Linked DNA regions of Mus musculus: all the other regions are reported to be linked to region 3. The links are microRNA targets in miRTarBase. Many come from high-throughput screens and were not tested one by one. Region 3 holds a microRNA gene; each other region holds the end of a gene's coding sequence.
What was found. Region 3 holds the annotated microRNA mmu-miR-155-5p (UUAAUGCUAAUUGUGAUAGGGGU, at 2,944-2,966, opposite strand). A microRNA usually pairs through its seed, bases 2 to 8, with sites in the 3' UTR of a target mRNA and lowers its output. Matches are read on the target gene's strand: a 7mer-m8 pairs with bases 2 to 8, a 7mer-A1 pairs with bases 2 to 7 and ends in A, and an 8mer does both.

Region 1: the mRNA of Fos is a reported target of mmu-miR-155-5p. The part of its 3' UTR that is shown has no 7-base or 8-base seed match.
Region 2: the mRNA of Il6ra is a reported target of mmu-miR-155-5p. Seed matches in the 3' UTR shown: 7mer-m8 at 2,876-2,882.
Region 4: miRTarBase lists Arid4a as a target of mmu-miR-155-5p. Seed matches in the 3' UTR shown: 7mer-m8 at 6,097-6,103 and 7mer-m8 at 4,905-4,911.

The regions. Positions count from the first base shown.
Region 1 is chr12:85,475,948-85,483,069 of GRCm38, forward strand. Fos (FBJ osteosarcoma oncogene) reads left to right here. Exons shown (of 4, transcript NM_010234.3): 4 at 1-1,327. The coding sequence ends at 511. Among named protein-coding and RNA genes, the nearest start is that of Fos, 5.6 kb to the left of the region's middle.
Region 2 is chr3:89,865,301-89,872,421 of GRCm38, reverse strand. Il6ra (interleukin 6 receptor, alpha) reads left to right here. Exons shown (of 10, transcript NM_001310676.1): 10 at 1,036-3,098. The coding sequence ends at 1,261. It overlaps Gm46811 (a long non-coding RNA gene), which reads right to left and starts at 317. Exons shown (of 3, transcript XR_001783918.2): 1 at 1-317.
Region 3 is chr16:84,709,987-84,717,108 of GRCm38, reverse strand. Mir155 (microRNA 155) reads right to left here and starts at 2,969; the gene lies at 2,905-2,969. Mir155hg (Mir155 host gene (non-protein coding)) reads right to left here and starts at 4,086. Exons shown (of 2, transcript NR_132106.1): 1 at 4,016-4,086; 2 at 1,864-3,056.
Region 4 is chr12:71,096,952-71,104,073 of GRCm38, reverse strand. It overlaps Arid4a (AT rich interactive domain 4A (RBP1-like)), which reads right to left. Exons shown (of 24, transcript NM_001081195.1): 24 at 4,723-6,573. The coding sequence ends at 6,470. Among named protein-coding and RNA genes, the nearest start is that of Tomm20l, 11 kb to the left of the region's middle.

The DNA.
Region 1 (7,122 bases), not on the chromosome of region 3:
CTTCCCAGAGGAGATGTCTGTGGCCTCCCTGGATTTGACTGGAGGTCTGCCTGAGGCTTCCACCCCAGAGTCTGAGGAGGCCTTCACCCTGCCCCTTCTCAACGACCCTGAGCCCAAGCCATCCTTGGAGCCAGTCAAGAGCATCAGCAACGTGGAGCTGAAGGCAGAACCCTTTGATGACTTCTTGTTTCCGGCATCATCTAGGCCCAGTGGCTCAGAGACCTCCCGCTCTGTGCCAGATGTGGACCTGTCCGGTTCCTTCTATGCAGCAGACTGGGAGCCTCTGCACAGCAATTCCTTGGGGATGGGGCCCATGGTCACAGAGCTGGAGCCCCTGTGTACTCCCGTGGTCACCTGTACTCCGGGCTGCACTACTTACACGTCTTCCTTTGTCTTCACCTACCCTGAAGCTGACTCCTTCCCAAGCTGTGCCGCTGCCCACCGAAAGGGCAGCAGCAGCAACGAGCCCTCCTCCGACTCCCTGAGCTCACCCACGCTGCTGGCCCTGTGAGCAGTCAGAGAAGGCAAGGCAGCCGGCATCCAGACGTGCCACTGCCCGAGCTGGTGCATTACAGAGAGGAGAAACACGTCTTCCCTCGAAGGTTCCCGTCGACCTAGGGAGGACCTTACCTGTTCGTGAAACACACCAGGCTGTGGGCCTCAAGGACTTGCAAGCATCCACATCTGGCCTCCAGTCCTCACCTCTTCCAGAGATGTAGCAAAAACAAAACAAAACAAAACAAAAAACCGCATGGAGTGTGTTGTTCCTAGTGACACCTGAGAGCTGGTAGTTAGTAGAGCATGTGAGTCAAGGCCTGGTCTGTGTCTCTTTTCTCTTTCTCCTTAGTTTTCTCATAGCACTAACTAATCTGTTGGGTTCATTATTGGAATTAACCTGGTGCTGGATTGTATCTAGTGCAGCTGATTTTAACAATACCTACTGTGTTCCTGGCAATAGCGTGTTCCAATTAGAAACGACCAATATTAAACTAAGAAAAGATAGGACTTTATTTTCCAGTAGATAGAAATCAATAGCTATATCCATGTACTGTAGTCCTTCAGCGTCAATGTTCATTGTCATGTTACTGATCATGCATTGTCGAGGTGGTCTGAATGTTCTGACATTAACAGTTTTCCATGAAAACGTTTTTATTGTGTTTTCAATTTATTTATTAAGATGGATTCTCAGATATTTATATTTTTATTTTATTTTTTTCTACCCTGAGGTCTTTCGACATGTGGAAAGTGAATTTGAATGAAAAATTTTAAGCATTGTTTGCTTATTGTTCCAAGACATTGTCAATAAAAGCATTTAAGTTGAATGCGACCACCTTCTTGCTCTCTTTATTCTCAGTTTTGTATGGTTTCAGGAAGGCCTCTGAGGAGACCAGTTTGTCAAGATGGGTGGGTCCTGGAGGGGAACACGCCCTCTGTCCCCTTATCACTCAGAGGACACGCTAGTTCAGGGTATTTTACAGAGATGTGTGTTCATATTGCATTGCCTGCCTTGGGGCTGAAGGCTGCCTGTAACAGCTTGTGCAAGGATGTGCTTTTCTGCATGCTTATCTTCGCCTTAGTGATTTTCATGGGAAAGGAATCCTTTGAACAGAGCCTAGCTCTACACAAACTTTTTTGTTGTTGTTGTTTTGTGAACTGAAGAAGAGTTGAAATAAGCGACCTTCCACACTGCAAACCAGATCGCCACTTCCCCCTCCTGTCCATTATTAGGCTGAACTGCCTCTTTAAAAAAAAAGTATATATATATATATATATATATATATATACACACACATATATATATATAACTAAAATATGTATTTATTTATGTGGGGAGGGCATTCATGTACTTGAGGTCATGCACTTGAGGTCATGGGACAACTTCCAGACTTTTTCTCAAGAACACGACCTTTGGGAATTGAACTCAGGTTAGCAGGCACCTAGACCCACCAAGCAGCCAATCTTGCCAGTCCCCCTCCCCCTTTAAAGATGTATTTATTTCTATTTTCTGTGTAAGGGTGTTTCGCTGGCATGTGTGTCTATGCACCAGGTGCATATGCAGTGTCCATAGAGGCCAGAAGAGGGCAAGGGATCCTGTGGGACTGGAGTTCTGAGACAATGGCAGCTACCCAAGCAAGCACCAGGAATCTAAATCTGGGCTCTCTGCAAGTCTAACAACTGCTTTTAACTGCTCATCCGTCTTCCTAGCCCTCCTGAACTACCTTCCACACCTTAGCCTTAAAAGGTTTCCCTTGGTTAAAACACACACACACACACACACACACACACACACACACACACACGAGTGCGCGCACATGCACGCAAACAAATTTTCAATTGTTTGTTTACTTTTAAGATGGGTCTAACTTAGCCTAGTCTGACCTCAAACTTGCTATGTAGCTGAGGCTGGCCCTGTATTCCTGATCTTTCTGTTTATATCTCCCAAGTGCTGGCTTTACAGGTATGCACCGTCATTCGGTTCCTTACTCAAACATATGTTCATTTAGTCAACCCTTTTTATTCTCCAAAGAGAGCAGGCTATCTATTATCCTGTGCCACCATGAAAAACAAATCCCAACTTCCGAAGCTACTTTAACACTTGGGTGTAATTCACAGTACAGTAGGGGAAAAGGAATGGACATTTAAATTATCTTGAGCAGCATAAATAATGGCTGATCAACCAGTCTGTAAATAAGAAGTTACATAATAGCTCAGTAGGGAAGGGTCAGAAGACTTCGGGTGAGCTTAGCTTAGAAAGTTTATCATCTCAAAGAAGAACATGACCTTTGCCTGGGACACCTCAGGTAATGACTGCTGCTCTCTCTCTTGCTTACATGCAAACCAAAAGGAAAGAAAAATGAGCCACTCCCTACCCTTGCTCTCTGGTACCTAAAAACCATAGACTGTTTCCACGCATGCTGGGTGGAAGGGGAGCCTTCAGGTCATTAGTGGTAATGACAATCACGCTGTGGTCACAGTGGGCCTCGTACTCTGTCGAGCTGTGTTTCAATTTCAAACGACAGTTCCATTACACGTGAGCTGTTAACCTATGATCTACCTGCTCCTACCACAGTGATTGACACTTCCAAGCAATTTACCCAAGTCTCTCTAGAACGTTCTTTACAGCACATTCCACTTGCACACACTGCTTTGGCCAGTCCTGAGTTATGGAGAGGCCTTGTTGGTACACCAATAATCCCAGAGCTGAGGAGAGAGGCTTGAGTTCTGGGCTACACTGTGAGATCCTATATAAATTAAATGAAATGTAAAAAAAAAACAAAAAAAAACCAAAACCCAAAAACCTTTAGAATTAATGTAACATTTACAAGGACTCGGTGAGCTCTTTTAAATGTGTGGTGGTAATGAGCTGAGAGGAATGTTCCAGATTGGAAAGAACAGCAAGGAAAGCAGCTTGCCCCTCCCCCCACTCCCGGGGGCCTCCCTAATGGCCCTGGCAGTTGTAAACTAGCTGTGGAAGAAGAGCATCCCCTTTTCTTTGACAGGTCTGACACAAAGCCTTTCTCCAGGTCACCACAGCCCAGGCCATGGTCCATCCACAGGCAAACACTGAAACTCTAGGAAGACAGAATCTCTGAAAGGTTTCTCCAAGTTCCTGGGATTCCCCCGAAGGACTAACACCTTCTGAGCTCCCTGCCAGCTACTTCCGTGGTCTAGAGTATCTTCCCTGTCTGGCCAAAGGACTCCTTCCAAATCCCCCCTTACCAGGGACTCTGGATTTAAAAATTCCTGAGGAAGACTGGCACTAGGAATGTCACCTTTCTTTTGGGGACACTTCCATCCCTTCTCAGAAGACAAAGCCTCAAACTAGTTTCAGGGGAACAATTACCTGCCTGGCTTCAGCGTCACTAACATTGATACAAGTCCTGACCATACAACAGAAAGGGCTAAAGACCAGGGACCATTTCCCTTAGGGACCATGTCAAGCCTGACCCGCCAATGGACTCTAAGACCCAGTTCAGAGCTATAGTACAGGATTAACAAACATTTTGCTCAGTGGGTGAATGAATAAGTTCCAAACTCTTTCTACGATCAGAAACTGGTCTGTGTATGTTCTGTAGTTTCTGTTCCAGTCCCCCTTTCCGATGTTAGGCAATAGGAATGTTACATCTTTTACCTCTGGCTGCAGACACACAGGCCACTTCTGTCCTTCATTCCTGGAATTCCTTCATTGCCTCCCCTGGGTTCCATCTGCCATTTCAGCAAAGCGAATGACTGACTGTGCAATGACTGAAATTAATTTCAGATACTAGAAGAAAAAATACTCATCTTTGCAGAACAGTGGATAACAGGCTCCCAACACCTTTGCATACCCCTAGAGCTCATGCGATTATCAAAACTAGAGAGGAGTACTTTGTGCTCTATTTAAACCAATCATGTTCTGTTTAATTAGTCTCAGGCACAGTAAAAACGCTAAGATGGTTACCTTAAGCAAATGATCCCAAGTTTCAATGTGTCTGAAGTAAAAGAAGAAACAAAAGCAAAAGCAACCTTTAAACTGTGCACACGTTTCCTCTGAAGCAGTCCCTCGGAGGGCAAGGGATAGAGTGGCATCTGGATAGAGTGGCATCTGGATAGAGTGGCATCTGGATAGAGTGGCATCTGGATAGAGTGGCATCTGGATAGAGTGACATCTGAATGCTGAACAGTGCTCATGCTTTAAATCGTGCTGGCTTTCTGTTAACATTAAGAAGTTGACCCTTGATTCTTCTGGTGCCCTCAAGTCCCCATAAACACACAGGGCATGGGACTCCCTTGCATTCTGCACACATCTAGTACTCATTCCTTGAAGAGGGTGTTTGTTTGTTTGTTTGTTTGTATTGTGCTGATAAGCCTCTACCTGGGCCTCTTTGCCCAAACTGGCAAAGACATCCAGGTCCCAGCTCAAAGCAAGTCTCCTTCTAGACACCTTCCCTGGCCACTCTATCTAGGGTGTCTTCTGGGCACACTCCCTGAATGACGTTTTCCTGATTGGATCTCATAGCATTCATTTCTCGCTAGCTGCGACATCCAATCTTGGTTTTCTTTCACTTAAAATAATAAATGTCTCGTCCCATGAGAACAATGATCTTTTGTATCTTGATCACAACCGTGTCTCTCAGGGTTGTTGACTGAGTGCAAATAGATGAATGAATGAACACAGATGACAATTATGAAAGTGTCGTAAGAGAGCCAGACCTTAGAAGGGAATATTAACCTCAAAGATGTCTCCAAGGGTAGAAGACCATGGCCCTTTATTAAATACAAACTCCAGGCTGGAGAGGTAGCTCAGCTGTTAGCACCTGCCATTCCTCCAGAGGACCCAAATTCAGTTCCTAGAATCCATGATGAGTGGCTTATAACTGCCTACCACTCCTGCTATGGGGGAGGGAGAGCCAACATCCCTGGCTTTGGTGGGCTCCATCACTCACTCATGCATACACATACATCTAAGTGAAAAGTAAAATAAATAAAATGTAAGCAACAACAAACGGCAAGCTCTCCAGACGTCTCAGTAGACGAGGGAGCCTGATGACCCGAGTCCATCCCTGGAGATCCTGTGAAGGTGGAAGGAAAGAATCGATGCCACAGAGTTGTCCTCTGACCCCTGACATTTGTGCACCCACACTCGTTTTAAAGAAATTCATGTTGCTCTAAGGATGGCTATTCACACCTACAGTTCCAACACTGGGGAGACTAAAGCAAGAACGTTGCCATGAATTTGAGGATAGCATAGTCTACAGAGTGAATTCTAAGCCAGCCTGGGCTACAGAGTAAGACCCTGTTTTGTTTGTTTTTGCTTTGTTTTTAAACAAGACAAACAAATAATCAAAATGTATTCACCTTGGTACAAAACACTCAGAGTCTAATACAAGTCTGTTTTGAGTTCATTCAGTGTGCAACCTTTAATTTAGTCTGCATTAGAATGGAAGGAAGAGTAAGGGTTACCTAGTTCCCATTATCCATATCACTATCGTTAGCCAAGAGAAGGTCCACACCTGCTGTAGATAAGATGTACTAGATGCTGGTGAATGACTTTGGTCTCTGGAAGGAGCCAGTTGGGTAGGTTTCCCTTGTCTTTGCAAGCAGGAAAAAGCAACAGAAATCTAAACCAGTTTAGTTGCAATACAATCCATTTCAATGGTTCCACAGACCCACTCATGGACTAAGCTGAAATGCATTTCCTTTGTCCAAAACACATTGTCCTGTTACTCAAGAGGACGAAAGTAGAAAGTGTTCTGGCTACTGTCCCAAGCAGGCTGCCTAGTCTGGTCATTAGCTTTCCCCCACAATCCCTAACTTTCAGCCCTGGTGTTTGGGTTTGGTTAAAGCAAATGATTAGAAGTCTGGGGACCCACAGGTGTCTAATTGTTGGTTATGTTAGAAACTCTTTGTTCTAGAACCAGGCCCAGAGGCTACAGGGATGTAGTGGTATTGGGCTTGCTAGCCTGTGTGAGGCCCTGGGTTGGCTCCATAACACTATGAAATGAACAAATATTAGCAGGAGGCCTGTGTGGAAAGGACCTAGTTTAAAAGGCCTGGGACAAAAAGCAACTTTATCCTGACTGTTAGTGGCCCAGGGTCTACTTGCCATGTTTATTTAGGGGAGAAATTAACTGGGTTAACCGATCATATGACAGGTAAATTTATCAAGACAATGTGATAACGTAGTCTGGATCCAATATTGCAAAGTGTTCCAGAATATAGACTTAGTTCTGAATCCTGGCTCCTCGACCTTAGGCAAATCAAGCAGTCTGTACTCAGCTTCCTCAGTGGTAAAATGGAGATGGTAATTGTGGGTGGCTATTGAGACTGCTATGGGCACTCAGAGAAGCAAATCAGTATTACAGCTCCTAAGTGTGAAAAATATGGTAGAATAGTTGGCTGTTATTATGCCTTTTGGGAGATGACGGTCAGTCAGAGAAGCACATAGGGATTGCATTATATAGGATAACCAGTTGGAGGTAAGCAGAGGGGAGGGTGGGGAATCTAACATTTACATCAATATCGAAGCATCAAAAGTGAAGGAAGTTAAAGGTAGGGCAAGAATAGATAACTGTGGCCAGATTGCTCCGAGCCTGGTATTTAATTTAGATCAGTCTGTTTGAAGACTTAGTTACAGCAGTG
Region 2 (7,121 bases), not on the chromosome of region 3:
GGCGATGCCTATCTCTTCCGGCTTACCACTGACTTTCCTGTCAGATGAGTCAACACGTGCCCAGTGGTGCCCCTGTCAGAGGGTGCAGTCTCTCCCTGCTGGGGTGGGGTGGGTGGAGGTGTCTGGAGACTGAGGTACTGAATATAGAGGGCTGGATAGAGTGCTACTAGGGACCACACAGCCTGTTCTCTGCTCTCCATTGCAGGCTGTGAGAGTGATCTGCTCCTGACAGCCTTTGTTGGACGGAGTTCCATATTCCTTCCCCACTGAAAGAATACTCTCCTCTTTTTAAAAAATATTTACTTATTTAATGTATATGAGTATGCTGTAGCTGTCTTCAGACACACCAGAAGAGGACATCAGATCCCATTACAAATGGTTGGGAGCCACCATGTGGATGCTGGGAATTGATGCTGGGAATTGAACTCAGGACCTCTAGAAGAGCAGTCAGTGTTCTTAACAGCTGAGCCATCTCTGCCACCTACCTCCTTTTTCTTTTTTCTTTTTTTTTTGGTTTTTCGAGACAGGGTTTCTCTGTGTAGCCCTGGCTGTCCTGGAACTCACTCTGTAGACCAGGCTGGCCTTGAACTCAGAAATCCGCCTGCCTCTGCTTCCCAAATGCTGGGACTAAAGGCGTGCACCACCACGCCCAGCTTTTTTTTTTTTTTTTTTAAACGTGAATGGATAGAGACCTGATAATGTGAGCCCAACAGACAGCCTCTGGCCCTGGGCAGATTGAGGATGTGTCAGGTGACTTTTGAAGTGCATAAAGGAACACTTCAGATTTCTCTCCCTTTGTAAGTTAGATATGGTCTTGAGGTAGTTTTGAAACTCACCAGCTCTTCAGGGTGTTGTGGGACCTCTGGGGATGATGTGGGAGCCAGATAGTCGGCATTTCTGTAAGCCAAACCTAGACACACCTAACCAACTGAGGCAGGCGGCTGCTGCTGCTGCTGCAGATAGGGTTTCTCACCATGCCTTTGGCCTGGGAGGAGTCTAAGGCCTGTTTGTTTGTTTCTCTGTGTTTGTATAAAGACTCAAGCAGAAATGGAAGTCAGAGGCTGAGAAGGAAAGCAAGACGACCTCTCCTCCACCCCCACCGTATTCCTTGGGCCCACTGAAGCCGACCTTCCTTCTGGTTCCTCTCCTCACCCCACACAGCTCTGGGTCTGACAATACCGTAAACCACAGCTGCCTGGGTGTCAGGGACGCACAGAGCCCTTATGACAACAGCAACAGAGACTACTTATTCCCCAGATAATCATCTGGATGGTACCTGGCAGCTGGCAGGGCACCACGAGATCAGCACACAAGTTTCTCATGCGGGTCCCATCCACCTGGGGTGGGGTGGGGCGGGCGGGGCTGCAGCTTCACTAACCCACAAGAGCTCTGCACAGGTTCTGAGTAGGTGCAGCTGGTGCTGCATAGGCTCTGAAGGAAGGAAGGGGCTGTGAGGAACACAGGCCATTGTGAAGACAGCTTGTGATGACTGAATAGAGATGCCCGTCAGCTCCACATCTGATAGTGGCTCACAAGCTGCACCCTCAGGAGGCCTCAGAAAGGGGCTCCAAAGGCTGCCCCAGCTGCCTCGCTCTGCCTCACTGCCCCAAGCCACCTTTTAGCTCTCGAACTCCTAAAGTCCAAGCACTTTGCCATTCTCTTTCCGAGGCCACTGAGGCCGGGTGGAAGCTTGGTTCCGATTTCCTTCTCAACATCTGGAAAGCAGCTGGGCCCGGTGGTGGTGACTAATATCTCAGGGCCTGATGGTTTACGCGAGTGACAATTTCTCACAAGCAGTTTTTAAATGTGAATGATGACCCCAGGCACTGCTGGCTGCGGAGGCTTCATTTTCCTCTTCGATCTCAGGACTTCAGGCGAAAAGCGGAGTGGAAGTAGAGAGCGGATGGGTGTCCACCGTCCTCATGGTACTTGCGGGAGGTACAGCCTGGAAAACACGTTTCCTGTCCCCCTACTCTCCCAGGAGAGGGATGATGGTAGGGGGTGCCTCTTCCAGGGCGGAGAGAACTACTTTACCCCAGCCTTGCCCATTCTGATTTCAACTGGACTGGAGCTACTAGGAAAGTCGACATTCATGCAAAAAGAAAAAACGTTAACTAGCAAGAATGCACTTTCATTTTGGTTTTTAGAGAACTGTTGCCTGTTTCTCTCAAGAGTCTGGAAGAGGCCGCTCACTGCACACTACTGTATGAACCCTCACTGCCCACCCTGGAGGACCAAGTGCAGTAACGGTAGCCCAAACACCAAGTCAAGTGAAAATCGAGGGAAAAAAAAAACAAACAAGCAACAAAAAAAAAAAACCAAAACTAAACTAAAAAACAAATCACCCCCCCAAAAAAAAACAAAACCAAAAACCAAAAAAAACAAAAAAACAAAACAACAACAACAAAAAAAACCCAAACCAACCCGCTGTTTCCTATAACAGAAAAGCCTTTGGTTTCATTTTTTATTTTGATTTTTTTGTCTTAAAAAGTATAAAAATAGCCTGTCCATGCTCTGCTTCAGGGAATGAGCCTGTGAACACTCCCAGGCGCAGGCAGGAAGGGTGTCTGCTTCCTGCTACACCTCACTGCCACCTTGGCCTTCCTTGCTTTACGTTTGACTGAGTGGCCTCAGATGCTTTCCCCTGGGGCTTTGAGGAATCCAGTGATGTTAGTGGTCACCGAGGAGACCACAGAGCCACAGTGTGGTGCTTAGATTAAAGTGACTTCTGCAACCACAGCACCCCACACCTGCCGTCTTACTGAACTATGCCAGTAACTTGCCTTTTCTGCCACCACCACGAGACGAGACGGGCAGAGCTCGGAAGCTGTCACCCCATGCCCTCTGCTTGTCCGCTCTAGGGGCCACTGACCTAAGCATTAGTTATTTTATTTTATTTTATTTTTTTGTGGGTTTTGTACATTTTAGGTCCTGTTGCTGTCTTAGAAAAGGCTCTGTAGGTTGACAGAAAATCAGGCCAAGTATTCATGTTTTGTTTTTTTTTTTTTTCCTTCTTTCCTCCTTTGCTAAGTTTTTGGGACTCAAGGGTAGCAAAACTGCTGTGAAAGGGAAATTTATTAAAAATGTTACAGATCGTGATCTTCAGGGGATCGGCGACTGTGCTCACTCACAGTTCTTCAGTCCCTCACAGGGCTCTGCTGTTACCCAAGCCAGGCAGAGCAGGCAGACGGAAGACTGAAATCCAGATAGCTCATTATCTCTGTGAGTTAAATGGCTTTGATCTCCAAGTTGTTTTCACTATTGTTGTAAGGGGATAGCCTCCCCCCAACCCGTATCAAAAGGATGCTTTTTCCTTTTGACTTTTTATAAGCTAAGTCAACAAAGTCTGTTTCGTCCGGTTTCGTTCACTTCACACAGGTGTATGCCCTCAGCTGCTTCTGGTCTCAATTCTGTGCAAGCTGAATAGGTGTTCCATCCTCGGGTCATTCTTACTGGAGTTTCTGCAGCCCACAGGCTGCCTTGTCAACAGTACCACTTAACACCAGCATTCAGCGACCAGGCAGCCAAATGCCTGGTCTAGACAGAGATGATTTAAACATGATCTTTGTTGCATGGTAGAAAGAGGGAACACATACTGGTTCTAGTTCTAAGGTTCTTAGATGTTTGGTCCTTCTGGCATTAGTGAAATAGCTTTAAACTATTTCAAGGGAGAAGCCTTGGCCACACCCACGACATTTGGCCGACAGTCCTTTCTCTCCATGAGCCTTGCCTTCCCACCTGGCTGAAAGCTCACACTGAATCTTTCCTGTGTCCTTGGTGTCTTGGGAGAAAGGGAACCCCGGTGTGGGCTTTACTGCCGGCATTGGCTTGGAGCCAGCGTGGAGCAGAGCCCAACAGGGTGGGCCAGGCTTAGTTATGGTGTGCCGGTTTAAGGAATGCCTGGTTTGCCTGGTTGCCTGGGCTCCGAGCTAGAGTTTCCTAGTAGTTCTTTATGGCTGACCTAGTTGGGAAAGACTCCCATACTCAGCTTCAGGTAGAGGTGGTGAGAAACCTTTTCCTTTGTAGAGGCAGCATCATCCCAAGAGCCTACAGTGAGGTGAGGTGGGAGGGGCAGGCGCTGGGGAGGGTCTGCCAAAGTGGGAGGGGGCAGGCCAGCTGGGGAGGGTCTGCCAAAGTGGGAGGGGGCAGGCCAGCTGGGGAGGGTCTGCCAAAGTGGGAGGGGGCAGGCCAGCTGGGGAGGGTCTGCCAAAGTGGGAGGGGGCAGGCCAGCTGGGGAGGGTCTGCCAAAGTGGGAGGGGGCAGGCCAGCTGGGGAGGGTCTGCCAAAGTGGGAGGGGCAGGCGCTGGGGAGGGTCTGCCAAAGTGGGAGGGGGCAGGCCAGCTGGGGAGGGTCTGCCAAAATGGGAGGGGGCAGGCCAGCTGGGGAGGGTCTGCCAAAGTGGGAGGGACAGGCGCTGGGGAGGGTCTGCCAAAGTGGGAGGGGGCAGGCCAGCTGGGGAGGGTCTGCCAAAGTGGGAGGGGGCAGGCCAGCTGGGGAGGGTCCTGGGGCTGGCGCTGGGGAGGGTCTGCCAAAGGTCTCTCCAGCCTCTGCTGCTAGTGTAGTTGGGTGCCAGTTCCAGGAAGTTTCTATGGCAACCTTAATGCGCCTTAAGGAACACTGTCAGGTTTGTGAACATATGCTCAGATGGAGATCTTGTTTCCAGGGAAAGGACTGGTACAGTGTGTAGCAAGCTGGAATGGACAGAGAGACTTTGGCAAGAGATCATATCCGTTAAAAACAGGATACCTCAATGCTACATGTTTTTATCTTTGAGACAATATTTTTAAGGTTTTTACGCTCTGTCCCCTGTGAGCTGATACCTAAGACCTAAGTCAGTGCTTTTTTAATGCCTTTTTGCCCTCTTGTTTGCTTTAAAGTGAAATTTGTAACTGTTTGGAATAAATAATTTCTAAAGTTGCACGTGAGATGTTCTTCTGCTTTGGGAACCTGGTCATTAAAAGGAAAACCTTCCTTCCATGATGAGCGAGGAGTAAAGAATGAGGAAGGCTAACTAACTAATTAAATAGGACTGTCTCTGAGGGCACAGCGGCTCAGTCCTCTAACCCGGCTCGACACTAGGAAGGCAGAGGCGGGAGGATTTCTCCAAGTTTGAGGCTAGTGAGGCCTTGTATGTCACTTATACTGCCCTCACAGACAGACAGACAGGCAGACACACACACACACACACACACACACACACACACACACACTAAACCTGGGACTAGCAATTTCTCAAAAGGTTTTAGTTAGTAAACATTCTCCCCAAACCAAGGCCTGGGATTTCTGGAAGGAAATCAGAGGCTCATGTGTCTGTCACGTTTGCATTGTTCAGCATTACCAGATAGAGGCATGTTAGAAAAGTGAAGGAAGGCCCACTACTTAGGTGTGTACTGGACTATGGAGGTGAGAATGGGATCCTGAGAGCCATCCCGAGCTTTCTTGGTCATCAGATGGCTGAGTCTGTCCTCCACTGAAAAAGATCTTGGGCAAGAAAAACTTGGGACCCAGCCTTCTCTATGTCCCAAACAGAAGGAAACCCATCATGTGGATGCTTTGCAGGTAAGAGTAGGGGTGGCTGCTGAGGGCCAGCCTCAGCTTGGTTTGGGTTCTGAGAGAAGGGGTGTCTGGGAGCAGTACAAACAAATAACTTGAAGTCTAATCGTGGGTCCAAGCTGGCTCTGTGGTTGAGACAGCTAATTTTCTGCTAGCTGAGAGAGACCATTCTCTCTGCTAGTAAACATACTTCCTACAAGCTCTCTGGATAGCTCGTGGGTTTTCTGACCAAAGTCAGAAAAGCTGCTATATATATATAAAAAAAAACCTCTTGGATATTCTAACCAAATCAGAAACCCTGTTTGAAAATTTCTAAAATTAATTCTTGGATTTTCCAATCAAAATCAGAAAGAAAAAAAAAAATCTCAAAGAGCCGTGCGCGCTCTTCAGACAACCTTCTCTGAATAGCTTCTGGAAAACATTGTAAAAGAGCGACGTCGGCTCTCTAAGTAACTCTTAGTGGTCAGAAATCCCATTAGAAAAAAATTCTAAAAAGCTGAGTTTGCTCTCCATGACTTTCCAGACTAAAATCAGGAATCCTGTTAGAAAAAAAAAACCTAGAAGAGCTATGTTCCCTCTCCAGAGATCTTCAGACAGCTCAGCTCTCCTTGGTAGAGAAAAATTCTAAGAACCATTATTGCTTTTTGCCAGCTCATCTCATGCAGCCCAAAAGCCTAGCTTTTTATTTACATATCAATTCAGTCATTTATTCCAGGTTCCCTCTTGACCACCCCGGGGAATCCACACTCCAGGACCTTAGCCCCTTGACTCACAGGAAAGGGATAGCAAGTCCATTTTTCCCCCTCTTTTATTAACATTGCAGAAGAATTCAGAGATCTGCCTGCCTCTGTAAACATAGCTGGGTGGGACCTTGTCCTGAGAGTACCATCTCCCACCACTCTTGGACCTAAATTTGCTCTGACCCAGGCTGACCTTGAACTCAAGAATCTGCCTGCATTTGTATCTGCCTGTCTTTGCGTCTCTCTGGCAAGCCGGCTCACAGTGCAGCCGCCTCTGCTCCTTCACATCTGTGAAGCTCCTTATACAATTCATACTGCATTTTATATTTTTGCATAGCTGAGAAATTATACATTTCTGAACATGTCTTTAGAGTTCTTGTCCTGAAGATCCCAGTGTTTAGCATTTTGCTGAGACATTAGTCACACCTTCCTATCCTGGACTCACGGTGTCTCTGATTATCATGAAATCATTAACGTTAACAGGGAGGACATTCCTTGGAGGAACATGAAAATATGTTCATTATTATACAAACAAGCCTTACTCCCACAGCAGCCGTCAACTCTCGTGGAGGCCCACGCCTGCTGGCCCTGTTCCAGGGGCAGGAACCATGTCGTTTTGTCTCTATCAAGGCCATGCCACAGCTGGTGGCAAGAAGTGTGCAAAGGCCCCCAACTCAGATGAAGCTGGGGTTGGGTGGCACCCACTGCCCTTCACTTGGACCCCTGTTCCCGAAGCACAGCTGTTCTTCTCCACCCCAAGGCAGGTGCTGTTTCCTTAGTATGAGCTCTGGTCCCATAGCTGTTGGTGACCTTGATGCCCCTTTCTGC
Region 3 (7,122 bases):
TGACTGTTATGCCACAGTTTCTATGTGTGCCTCAGTCTGTCCCAGCTTTCTCTCCTGTCCTACCTCTGCTACTAGGTTTATTTAGCTGATGAGAGCGAGCAAGAAAAGCTGGGTTTCCTTTTCTAATTATTTCCTAGTTAGTTTCTTTACAAAAAATCTTTTTCTAATTACTTATACATCCCGACTAGAACTTCCTCTCCTCCCAGTCCTTTCTCCCACCTCATCCACTCTGTTTCTCTTCAGAAAAGGGGAGGCCTCCCATGGATATCAACCAGCCCTAGCATAAAAAGTTGCAGTTAAGGCTAGGCACATCTTCTCTCGTTGAGGCTAGACAAGGCAGCCCATTAGGCAGCCTGAAAGGGTCCCACAGGCAGGCAACAGTCAGAGGCAGCCCCTGCTCTCACTGTTAGAAGTCCCACATGAAGACCAGGAAAAACTTGTTTTCTAACTCTCAGCCAATGGCTTCAGGGGCTGGTCTGTGCCCAGGTCATCCTATGTAATTCAGTGCTTCATTCCCTTTAGTCTTCTGTGCACGAAATTGGGCTGCCCTTCCTTTACTCACACACACACACACACACACACACACACACACACACACACACACACAAACTTCCTCATTACTTACTCTCCACTCCAAACACACCCAGCCTTAACTCATACTCCAAGAATTTTTGGAATGACTGGAAATGTTGGTCAGGAATAATCCATCTGTGATGCCAAGAGGTCAGCTAGTAGAGTTGGGCATCCGGGAAGACCCAGCCTGCTGGCCACGTCTGGGTTGTGTGGGTGGTTAGGGTGGGATGATAGCTGAGGAGGTGGCGTGTTCCAGGGACGCCTGCTGCGTCGATTTAGATTATGGACTTATACATGTTTCAAGGTTTGTATGTATTCATCACTTAAATGCTGGTAGAAAGTGTGTTCCCTCTTGTGGTATTTCATCTAAGCCTTAATAAAATTACATCACAGAGATACACACACTGATGGAGAAACAGACATGGAGCAAGTGATTTGCCTAAGCATGCAGTAGGTGTTACAGTGCTTTATGATTTCAGAGCTTTTGATTGGAACTGCTGGAGGGTAATGTAGAGAACGCAGCGGGTTCCTAGCTTTCTGTGACTTTGTGGTTGTAGGCAGCAAAAAGGATTTTGAAGAATTGAGACTCGGTACAAGGACTCCTGAAGCTCCATCCAAGGGTTGAGAGGAGGAATTTATGTCGGCAGCGTACTCGGCAGAAGGCAGTGGGGCAGTGGGGGTGGCGTGCCCTGTCTGTGTCATGGCAGGCAGGGGCATTCCTCTCACTGTCCTTGTGACTTATTCCATTGTTGTCTTTTTTGTGTGTCTTCTGAAATCACAGTCTGTACTTTGCAAAAGAAAGGGTCATCACAAACAAAAAGTATTCTAAGCCAACTAAAGACTCAAAGACATTTATTTGGCTATAGGGAAGACAATGACAAGATATTCAGGAGAACTATCAGAACAGGTATAAATTAGGGCTGGTGAGATGGCTCAGTGGGTAAGAGCACCCGACTGCTCTTCCGAAGGTCCAGAGTTCAAATCCCAGCAACCACATGGTGGCTCACAACCATCCGTAACAAGATCTGACTCCCTCTTCTGGTGTGTCTGAAGACAGCTACAGTGTACTTACATATATACATAAATATATATATACATATATATACATAAATAAAAAGTCTTTAAAAAAAAAAAAAAAGAACAGGTATAAATTAAATATAACAAGTCCAGCTGTCTATGTGTTCGTCAGTGATATCACTGTGGAGAAAAATTGCATAGGAATTCAAACATTAAACTTCTGTATATCAAATTATTACCTATGTCAGGCAACGGGGTGAGTTTTGGATTGGCTTTAAGACATCACTGTGGGATTTTATTACCTTACAAAGAGTTGTTCATCTCCAGTGAGCTGCACACCAACCTTGTAAAGTTTCATCCGCATTCATGAAGAAATGCGTAGGAAACGTGGGTCTCCTTACTACACAGCTTTACTGTGCAGCTAAAGCAGTAAGCTTGAACCCAGATTTGGGTTTCATTTCAAATGTGAATATTTGAAATTAAATATTAATTAAATTAAATATTTATACCGTGTGAGGAATATATAGGTAGCCCTCAGGAATGATTTGTCATGTCACTTTTTAATACTTCATCTTATTTTCTTAATTTTTTGATAAGGCATTTTTCTGTGTAGCTAAGGCTGTCCTGGAGCTCACTCTGTAGACCAGGTTGGCCTTCGACTCAGCCATCTGCCTGTCTCTGCCTCCCGAGTGCTGGGATTAAAGGAGTAAACTACCAACAGCTGGCTCATAGATTTTAAAAAAATCATTCAGTGTTGACTCAGTTTTTCCTTACCTAGCCCTAAACTCTAACACTAACCCTAAATTTTTCCTTACACTAAAACACAAGAGTTACAAATTTTAAATCAAAGTTGACTAATACATTGTAATGTGGAAAAAATGCCAATTCCAAGTCTTACAAGAGGTATTCCAGACAATCCTAGATGTCAGTCGAGAATGGCCGTCCTGAATTTTAACTACAGAAATATAGAAATGTCCTTTTTAGTGCATTCATTTTGTATTCTGGTTGAATCATTGAAGATGGTTATGAACATAATTTTGAAATAAAAATGATACAAGTTTCACTTTCCATTCAAGATAAAAAATAAACATGTGGGCTTGAAGTTGAGATGTTGTTTAGGATACTGCTGATCTATCTTTTAAATGACATTTATCGTAACACTTACAGTGGACTATCCTAGTAACCAGGTTATGACTAGCACATTAAATGATAGAGTCTGACATCTACGTTCATCCAGCAGGGTGACTCTTGGACTTGTCATCCTCCCACGGTGGCCATTTGTTCCATGTGAGTGCTAGTAACAGGCCTTGTGTCCTGTTAATGCTAACAGGTAGGAGTCAGTCAGAGGCCAAAACCCCTATCACAATTAGCATTAACAGCATACAGCCTTCAGCAAGCCTCCAGCAGCCAGAGGATAAGGGATATGCAACTTAAACCACACACTTCCCCTTCCTGGTTTGCAGCACCTGCAAAGAGAAAAAGAAATAGTTGTGTGTACGCACACAGTTAGTTATAAAGTAGAGTGAACGATTATGAATCTGAAGGCAAGGTAGACTTCAGCTTTGAAAGAAAAGAGCTCTGAAATGCTTCTAAGTAAATTTTGGAAAATTTTTGTAAGGTTTGCAATTTAAAAACTAATTATAAAATCAAACTTTAAATTCTGTGGAAATATTTGAATACATGTATCATTTTTAACACAGCCACGGTTCATAGTTCTACAATGCTGAAGTTCAAAGGACACAACTTCAGTTCTGGGTAATATTCTGACGTACATCCCACAGGTCACTAGGCAATTCAAGAAATCTCAGATATTTAGGATGGTACTTTATGATTTTTGAAAGTTAAAACTCAATGGATGAACCCATTTTGATTCTATAAATAGTAGTTGCGATTTTCACCTTATTCGTTTTTCTTTTTCTTCAAGATAGGGGGTACAGCCAGGGCAGGTCTGCCCTGAAAGGTATCTGAAAATGCTCCTGTTGTCCTCCAGTGATTCCTTTGGGGACTCACAAACCGGTGGCTTCAGTTTGACCCATGTAAAGGAAGTGCGCCTTAAAGAGCTCTGACTCAAGGGACTTGTCTCCAGCAGAGTGGTTTAGAAAAAGAAAAAAGATGAATTTGCTGTTTCCTGTTAGAGTTGGATTTTACTCTCTCAGATAAAGTGACATTTCTCCCACAAGTTTCTGGTTTCAGTGTTACTGTACGCGAACCTAGAAGTTCAAGCATCACTCAAGTCTGTGGTTCCCTTTAGGACCAGAGGGGAACCACCTTTTCTTTTCTTTAATAATGAAACCAGCTAGATGTAGAAATGTGATTAAGTTCAAAAGAAATGCATCAAGTTAAAAATTCCCCAGTGAATATATTTTGACAGGGCAGAATATCGTGGCTTGGAAATTTCCAAACCAAGGAAATATATCATACTTACTGATAGTATTTCTTTTTTAAACTTTGCTGTTTTCTCAGATGAGCTGGTTTCATGAGGAAAGTCTGTGAATTACACAGTTTCAATCTTGGATTTTATTTCAGCCAAAAGAAAGACTGTAATAATACCTTTTCTCTTCATAGTGCATTGAACTCAGTAAGTCCTCAGTAAATCTATTAAGATTCTAGTGTTCTACTTCATGCCATATTATTGACCCATTAGGGAGAATATATGCAACTGTGCATGTGTGCATGAGTGCCTACATAACCCCATTCCAATTTAAGTAAATAACTTATCTATAAGTTCTGTTTCTATCCTTTAAAGATACCATCTGAATAAAGGTATTACCAAGAATATATTTAGTATAGGTAGCCAAGGTTGCCCTATATAACCTAGGCTGGCCTTGAACTCATGACCTTACACTTCAGTCTCCCAAATTCTGGAATTATAGCCATATACCACCACATCTGGCTATATATATATAGCCATATATACATATATATGTATAGCCATATATACATATATATGTATATTACATATATACATACATGTGTGCACACATACACACCTATCTATCTATCTATCTATCTATCTATCTATCTATCTATCTATCTATCTATCTATCATCTATCTACATGAAAAGCCTAGGTTTGATTCCCAAGTACCACATACATGGACACTGGTGCAGCCTTTGATCTCAGGACTTGAGAGATGGACTTAGGAGGATCATGAGCTCAGGGCTGTTCCCAATTACTTATCACCTCTGGGGTCAGCTTGGGCTATATTGGACCCCGTCTCAATAAATAATAAAATATAATGTTAGGAATTGCTATTGCAATCAACTCTTTTGACCTTAGGTAAAAATCTCGACCAACCTTAAGCACTATATTTAGTTCAGACAAATCGTAAGTCCAGGTCCCATTCACTATGTGGCATATCACCATTTCTCTGTGGTATAGCCTAAACCTAAGGACATTCCAGGAGAATATAATTAGACTTTTCTTCAGGATAATATTTTGAGGTATAAGGGAGGCATAGAATGTCACAATCTGTCTAGTCTTGCTGATTTGCCAGGGAAAATGTTATCAGCTAAGGTACTCAGAGAAGAATATGTCCTATACTGGATCTTTTTATTTTTAGTAATTTTTTTGTGGTAACACACACACACACATGTATCTCACACATATAACACACACACACAGACACACACATACAGAGTAGGGTAGATGAACTTTTGGAGCTGTAAGAAAGGGCATCATATTCATACTCATCTTCAACTTTCATCATATACATATACACACATATATCTACATACATACATACATACATACATACATACATACACACATATACATACATACATACATACATACATACATACATACATACATACATACACACACATATACATACATACAAACAAACTTTGCCACTGTAACCAGTTTTAAGTTTCTGATTGAGTTATCAAAGACATCTGCATTCATTCCCACCTTTTCTCTCAAATGACTCCATTTGTTTTATGAGGGTCTCACTTTATGTTAAAATCATGAGTTGTAGGCCAAGTGTGGTGGCACACACCCTTAATCTTAGCACTCAAAAAGCAGAGGCAGTAAGGTTTCTGGGAGTTCCAGGCTACTCTGGTTTATATAGGGAGAGACTGTATTTCAAACAAACATACGTACAAGCAAACAAGCAAGAAAATCATGAATTAGATCCTCCTACAATTATATATATATGTATATACATGTGTATATATCTATGTGCTTATTTTTTTGTCTGGCTTATTCTTAGCACCAACCATTCGAGAGTTATCAAAGAAACTGCATGATGAAATATTTTCTTTATAGGAAGCCAGTGGTTGTATTTTTCACCAATACCATGTGGGACAGCCCTAGCTATTCACTTTGACATATACAAATTTTTGGAAACTGTTCCTTTGAGGTTCTGAAGTGAATGAATATCCACTTCTTTGGAAAAGCATGATTGTGTATTGATAGAGTAACACAAATTCTAGTTTTAAAGCCACTAGGTGAAAAGAAGGTCATATTTTGGACAATTAAAATGGTTTAATTCAGATGAGTTTATCTAATTTATCATCTAACAATCTATGTATCTATGTGTCTATGTGTCTGTCTATCTATCTATCTATCTATCTATCTATCTATCTATCTATCTATCTGTATCTATGTATCTATCTATGTATCTATGTATCTATCTATGTATCTATGTATCTATGTATCTATGTATCTATGTATCTATGTATCTATCTATCTATGTATCTATCTATGTATCTATCTATCTATCTATCTATCTATCTATCTATCTATCTATCTATCTATCTCTATCATCTATTAACTTGAAAAACATACTAATAGAGATAGAATTCATAGTTGAATCCTATGTGGATTACTAAAATCAATTGCATATCATTGCATTTACAAATCATCTGGATTTCCCACCAGAATTTACCCTGAACCTGCGTTTCTAAAGCTATGTTCTGGACTAGACCAGGGAAGTAGGGAGCGAAGGTTAAAGCAGCCGAGTAAAACATGAAGACACGGGGAAGCTCTGCACGAGTCATAGTTAACAAGGCTTTGGTTGCCTTTTGACCTAAGATGAAAGTTGAAGATGACTGTGAACACCATGCCCTTTCTTATAGCTCCTAAAGTTCTTCATCTGCTCTAGCCTGGCTTCTGTTCTCAGTCCGGAGTCTCTGACCATCAGAACCAATTCCTCCAGGGTGAGACAGGCTTCAGGGTGGAAGTTCCTACAGTGCAATGAGGAAGGAGGGGTGGGGTGGGGTTTAAGTCCTCAGTTAATTTGCACTTAATCGGTTAGTTAGCTAGTCATTGTGCAGAACAGAGGCGGAGGAGAAAGGACCCAGGTCTTGGTAGACAGCTTTTAATTGGATGAAGAAAGACTTGGACAAAAGTGACTGAGCATCTCCAGTCATTTTACATCCAACACAAAATAGTCACAGATGGAGCGGTTTGAGTGGTTTTAACCAAGCTTTGGTTGTTTTCTGTCACTTTAACCTCTGTTTTATACAGCATCATTAAAACGTATCTCAATAGTGCTTCGTGTAAAGACTTATCCTTTGCCTCGAGGGC
Region 4 (7,122 bases), not on the chromosome of region 3:
AGCACCTATACCTGCTGACATTCCAGCAGCCTCTTTTTAGATTTATTTATTTATTATATGAAAGTACACTGTAGCTGTCTCAGACACCCCAGAAGAGGGCATCAGATCTCATCACAGATGGTTGTGAGCCATCATGTGGTTGCTGGGATTTGAACTCAGGACCTTCGGAAGAGCAGTTGGTGCTCTTAACTGCTGAGCCATCTCTCCAGCCCTTCTCTGGCAACTCTTAGCAGATAAGAATCTTAGATTATCTTGTTGGATGTAATTTAAGAAGAAAGCCAACTACTTATACCTACGGCCATTTATTATATACACAAATGTCCTTAAGCTTCACAACAGAGCTTTTCTAAATGAATTTTGCATGATACAGAGTACAAACTGAACATCGCTTCATAATTCTGTTAACTGCAAATATCAAAATTATAGATGCTGTTCTTAATTTGGTTTTAAAAGATGCATAGTGGCTCTCTGTGGGTGAGAAGTATCTTGTGCTTGTCATCATCAAAAATATTATTAGAATTTGAAGAAAAAAAAAAAAGCTGAGGCGAAGGACATGCATGAGTCCCCAGGCTCAGAAGGCCAGCCTGGAACGACACAGAAGACCCCATCTTGGGAGTTAAACACCAGAACAAACTGTACTGTGCTAAAGCACGAAGCATGGATCTGTTGGGAATTTCTTTTTCTTTTTTTTTCTGAGACAGGGTTTCTCTGTATAGCCCTGGCTGTCCTGGAACTCACTCTGTAGACCAGGCTAGCCTCGAAGTCAGAAATCCCCCTACCTCTGCCTCCCGAGTGCTGGGATTAAAGGTGTGCGCTACCACTGCCCAACCTGTTGGAAATTTCTTACCAGTGGGAACTTCATCCCGAGCCGATCAACCCTGACACGGGAATTCCATGCTGTCCTCCTGGAGTGGAGGAAGCCTTGTTACGCAGCTGCATGAAAATGACGGGGGTGGGGCGTGGGGAGGACAACTAAGGAGATGGGAAAGCAACTCACCAGTGGGGGCATTTTAATTGGCAATTAGGTCATGACGCAAGTCTAGCTTCATTCATACTACGGAGTTGATATCTCAACACTATCATGTTAAAAAAAAAAAGCCCTGAAGATCTTACATGTCTGGTTTTTTATATAAAGATCAATACTTTTTTTTTTTTTAAAGATTTTTATTAAGCCAGACGTGGTGGCGCACGCCTTTAATCCCAGCACTCGGGAGGCAGAGGCAGGCAGATTTCTGAGTTCGAGGCCAGCCTGGTCTACAAAGTGAGTTCCAGGACAGCCAGGGCTATACAGAGAAACCGTCTCGAAAAACCAAAAAAAAATTATTTATTTATTTATTTATTATATGTAAGTACACTGTAGCTGTCTTCAGACACACCAGAAGAGGGAGTCAGATCTCATTAAGGATGGTTGTGAGCCACCATGTGGTTGCTGGGATTTGAACTGATTTGAACTCAGAACCTTTGGAAGAGCAGTCGGGTGCTCTTACCTGCTGAGCCATCTCACCAGCCCCCTCAATACTTTTTTTAAAAAGTAGTTGTATAAAAATTTTCTTAGATTTGACTTAACTAGTAACTTTGACAACTCTGTTTTAGAGGTTGGGCTAGGACCATGAGGTACACCTATGACCAAGGAACACTGAGGGAAGTGACTACACACACACACACACACACACACACACACACACACACACACACGGGGTGAGCTGTGAGGTAAAACAGAAGAGACTGGAAAGCCATCAGATGTGGAAGAGGTGATGTTGTGTGGGCTCAAAAGTCAGCAAAAGATGCATCCTGGCAAAGTGGCTAAGGCAGCTCAAGCATCAGGAGCAGGGCAGAGGGGACATGGGGCAAGAAGCAAGGTGAGAGGCACAAGGCAGGAGCAGTGTGTGAGAGCCTGACACAGCTCTCCTCATGCCTCCTTCCTCTCTCACCTGCTTAGGACACCGTGTTATCAGCATCGCTTTTCCCACCTCCTCGGCCTATTCGCCTGCCTCACTGGGACCCAATTTAACCAATATTTTCTCTTCAAAGCCTTCCCAGACTATTCCAGTCTCAGGACTAGTTGTTGTCCATGTTAGGATGTCATGGCAACTGTGACTTCATATACTTATGGTACCTGCAGACCTAGCATGTGGTGGGCTGGGCTGGGCTGAGGAACGAGGCCATCCTGGGCTATGTAGTAAGTTTTAGACTAGCTTGGGCTAGAATGAGACCCCATCTCAAAACCCAGAGTTTTTTTTGTTTTTGTTTTTGTTTTTAAAGAAAAAAAAAAGAAAAAGAAAAAGAGAGGGAGGGAGGAATTACATAGGTTTAGCCAGGTCCAATAGAGCATGCTTATCATCCTAGCATTTGAGAGGTAGGAACAAGAGAGTCAGAAATCAAAGTCAGCATCTACCACAATCATTTCAAAATCAGACTGACCTCTTCACGGGACCTTGCTTCAAGAAGCCAAAGAAAATTTAATTATTTTAATTAAAAGGGGTAATTGTTTCATGTCTATCATCCTTTTTCTTTTTCAAAGATTTATTTATTTATTTTATGCATGTGAGTACACTGTAGCTGTACAGATGGTTTTGAGCCTTCATGTAGTTTTTGGGAATTGAATTTAGGACCTCTGCTCACTCTGGCCAACTCCGCTTGTCAGTCCCTGCTCCCTCTGGCCCAAAGATTTATTTATTATTATACATAAGTACACTGAGGTGTCTTCAGACACACCAGAAGAGGGCGTCAGATCTCATTACCGGGTGGTGGTGAGCCACCATGTTGCTGGGATTTGAACTCAAAAATCAGCAAAAGAACTCAGGAAGAGCCGTCAGTGCTCTTACCCACTGAGCCATCTCGCCAGCCCCATATCAACCATACTTGATCTTATTCCATGAAGACAGAAACCTTTTTGTCTTGCTGGCTCAAGTGGCCGAGTCTTGGTATCACAATATAATGTCTGATACATAGAAGATATTCCATAAACTGCTAATGAATCAGTTCTGCTAAGAGTTTTTGCATGATGTTATATATAACACTGAATGTTTGATAGGTATGCTAAATTAGACCTACAAGAAAAAGTACAGAAGCAAATTCATATAGCTTTCCAGACTTAAGTCAATTTTATAGATGTCATAAGTAATAGTCTTTTAAAATGTGCTTGCTCTCTTTCTAAATGAAAGACTGGAAATTTGATAAAAAGAATAAACAGTAAAAGCACATAAAGGAATACCAACACAGAAAGCTATATAATTTTTGAATACCTTGACTGTATAGATAGTACATTCCTTTTTTATATAGTATCTTTTATACTTTTACTTTGTCATATGCAATATGTAATAATCTGCTCGAAGTTTAGGTAAACTCAAAATAAACCCAACATTTGAACTGTAATGCTTAGTCAACACTCAATTTCACATTTTTTCCTAGTGTCCTAATAAAATGGTATAGATAGTATCTATATCTGTGGTGAGTGAATATATAATTTTGTCTTCTGTAGGTACATCCAAACTAGTAAGTTATCTCAGATTTACCAAATTGCTACTGAAAAAGATCACTAACATAGCTAATATTGCTTCCTAGCTTTGGGTGACAAATTTTTCATTTTTATAATTAAGTACTAGAAGTATTTTGAAAATTGAAGAATGTATTGTGTCTTAGTTAGGGTTTTACTGCTGTGAACAGACATCATGACCAAGGCAAGTCTTATAAAAAAACAACATTTAATTGGGGCTGGCTTACAGATTCAAAGGTTCAGTCCATTACCATCAAAGTGGGAGCAGGGCAGCATCCAGGCAGGCATGGTGCAGGAGCAGCTGAGAGTTCCAAGTCTTCATGAAGTTGGTACTGGGAGTGGGGTATTGCTGTGATAGGCCTGACCATGCTTTTATTTGAAAGAATGTGGATTTTTGGACTTTGGATTTGGAACTCAGTAGAATGCTTTAAATGGGGCTTAATGGGTCATCCTAGTAGGAATATGGAAGACTTTGTTGCTGGGAGTAATTTGAACTGTGTTGACCTGGCCCAAGAGATTTCAAAGGAGAAGAATTTCAGTATGTGGCATAAAGACTGTTTTTGTGGTATTTTGGTGAAGAATGTGGCTACTTTTTGCCCTTGTCTGAAAAGTCTGCCTGAGACTAAGGTGAAGAGACTCAGATTAATTGCGTTGAAAAAGGAAGTTTCAAAAAAGCCCAGCAGAGACTTTGTTCTCTGGTTAAGTCTTATGAAGAGAAGTTTGAACATACATAGCAAGCCAGTAAAGAACACCCCTCCATGGCCTCTGCATCAGCTCCTGCTTCCTGACCTGCTTGAGTTCCAGTCGTGACTTCCCTTGGTGATGAACAGCAGTATGGAAGTGTAAGCTGAATAAACCCTTTCCTCCCCAACTTGTTTCTTAGTCATTATGTTTGTGCAGGAATAGAAACCCTGACTAAGACATACTGAAATGCCTAGTTTTGTAGAACCTAATTTTCCAACTATAAGTTACTGGCATTTGGAAAAAATAGTCACTTAAAAGAAAACTAGGGGGCTGGTGAGATGGCTCAGTGGGTAAGAGCACCCGACTGCTCTTCCGAAGCTCAGGAGTTCAAATCCCAGCAACCACATGGTGGTTCACAACCATCCGTAATGAGATCTGACTCCCTCTTCTGGAGTGTCTGAGGACAGCTACAGTGTACTTACATATAATAAATAAATAAATCTAAAAAAAAAAAAAAAGAAAACTAAAACTGTATAGCCTATGTTTAAGACACGCCCACTGGGCTCCTTTTTATTTGACATTGAGATACTTCTGTTTGCAAAGAAAAGACAGGAAAGTTCATATTACAAGAGTACTTTTTTGTTTTAATTCTCTGAGAAAATGGAAGAAGTCTGAATCCCAGGTTCACAATGTGGCAAGATGACGTGGAGAAATATAATTTCGGTAATGCTCTGCTGTAGCAATGTGCTGTGCCTCTGTCCGCCCTCAGGGTCAAAACCCCCCGGGCTACCACACTACAGCATATAAACACAGAAAAGGAGGCTTCAAAACAACCCCTTTAATGTACAAACATGAGTTTAAAAATGCTTTTTAAAAAAATCACCTTTTTTTTAACATAATGTATATGCAAAACTGCTTTAAATACATGATTTTGGAAGAATTATTTACAAATGTATCAGTCTGTGTAACAATTCACAGACAAAGAATACATAGTGGCTTTACGTGACTGTTGCATCTTGACTTTGGGAGATATAAAATTTATTCGGCAGTACAGCGAACACAAAAACTGTGACAAAGCATCTTAAGGGCAACCAAAAATGTGATCCTCAAAGTGGTTTAAATACGAGGACTGCCAAAGTTTCTAAACAAGGACAGACTTGAGTGACCCAGATGCCCACTCTCAGCTGCTCGGTTGGGAAGGTTGAGACAGACGCCCTGCAGCACCCGCGGCTGCAGACACAGCCCCCTGCAAAAGGGGCAGCTGACCACTACTGCCATCCAAAGAGTGAATTAACCTAGAATTGTCTTTTTTTCAATTTTATTAATATTTTAAAAAATACATAAAAATACAACCATCCAATGTCTGAATAAATATATTTAACAAGTTGCAAGATAATACCTTATTTTACACAAAATTTTCAGCTTTAGAAATCTTGTTAAATAACTTCATTGTTGTTATATATTTCATTTTTGTATTTTTGTAACAAAATAAAAACTCTGAAATTACATAGAAAAAAGACAAAATATTTTTGTCAAGGGATAAGATAGTCCACTGAAAACTTATTCACAATTCCACTGTAAACATTAATAAACATTAAAATATTTGCATAATTGTGTGCTCAAAAGTCCTATAAAAAGTGGAAGACTTATTACAACTGCAGTTTTCAGTCAACTACACTTCCTTTCACAATTTATTTTGTCCCATTTACACTTTTAAACCTGGGCACACTGCTGCACATATACTTTGGCAGTTCTACATAGCAAGTGCTTCCACAAAATTGAAATGAATAAAAAATCAACATTAATAATAATTATTATAATAATTATAATAATACAAGAATAAAACAAAATCAACCCCCTACTCACCAAGTGTTCAATGCATCTCAGTGAAAGTGCAGCAGTAACTGCTAACCAGATAATGCTCTCCTGTCTGTTGTGTGCGCTTGTCTATGATTTCTAGAACACTTGAAAGCTTTATTATACAAATTCCATTTTGCTAAGTGCCCTTTTTTTTCTCTATCACACACACACACACAAAAAAAAAAAGAAAGAAAGAAAGAAAATACAGAGGAAAAATTATGACCAATATGGCAGGCTGCCTAACCTTCAATTATTAATAAGCTTATTTTCTGCAACAATAAAAAAAGGAGAGAGGAGGGTCTAGATACAATCCTGGAAACTATACAGGAAGGATATACTTAGCCGGCTGAGTGCTTTCTGTGGTTGTATTTCAGGGTTTGGGGATTTATGTCCATGGCAGCAAACTGCTGTGGGGTGGAGAACTGTTCATCACCTGCACTCTACAGCAAGTACATTTTGGGGGGGAGACGATGAAGAAGGGCTCATTCCAGTGTCTGATGAAGCAGAGGACATTGACGCTCCTGCGTGAGACACTGTGGAATCAACACAACCAGGTTAGAGCAAGAAATGACTACTCAGATACCTAAAGTTAGATGCTAAATTCTAAGGAAGATTTGTTGTTTGTTTCTGCGACAGTCTCACATTGCCTAGGTTAGTTCAAACTTGATATGTAGCCAAGGATGACCTTAATTTCTGATTTTCTCGCCTCTACTCCACAAGTGTTGGGATTACAGGCTGTAACTAGATGTTTAGCATCATTCACTTCAATCAAGGGCCGATTAAACGATGCACAAGGGGTGCAAGTTGTCAGCAAGCACTCTGCTGGGCTCACCTTTGGGCCAATTAAGGGAATTAACCCTACAGAAGAGATATCACAAGGTTGGGAGGCAGCGGGCAGCGCAGGAGCCAGGGTGCTATGCACAGGCCCTGGATTCCACTCCCAGCACTGCAACCAAAATGAAAAACTAAACAAAGTCAGACATCACAAAAAGTAAGGATTAAAAGAGAGATGAAGTCTGGTGTCAGGTAGGGGCAAGAGTAGCAGAAGATATACACTGGGCAATGGACCCAAAGGCTTCTCT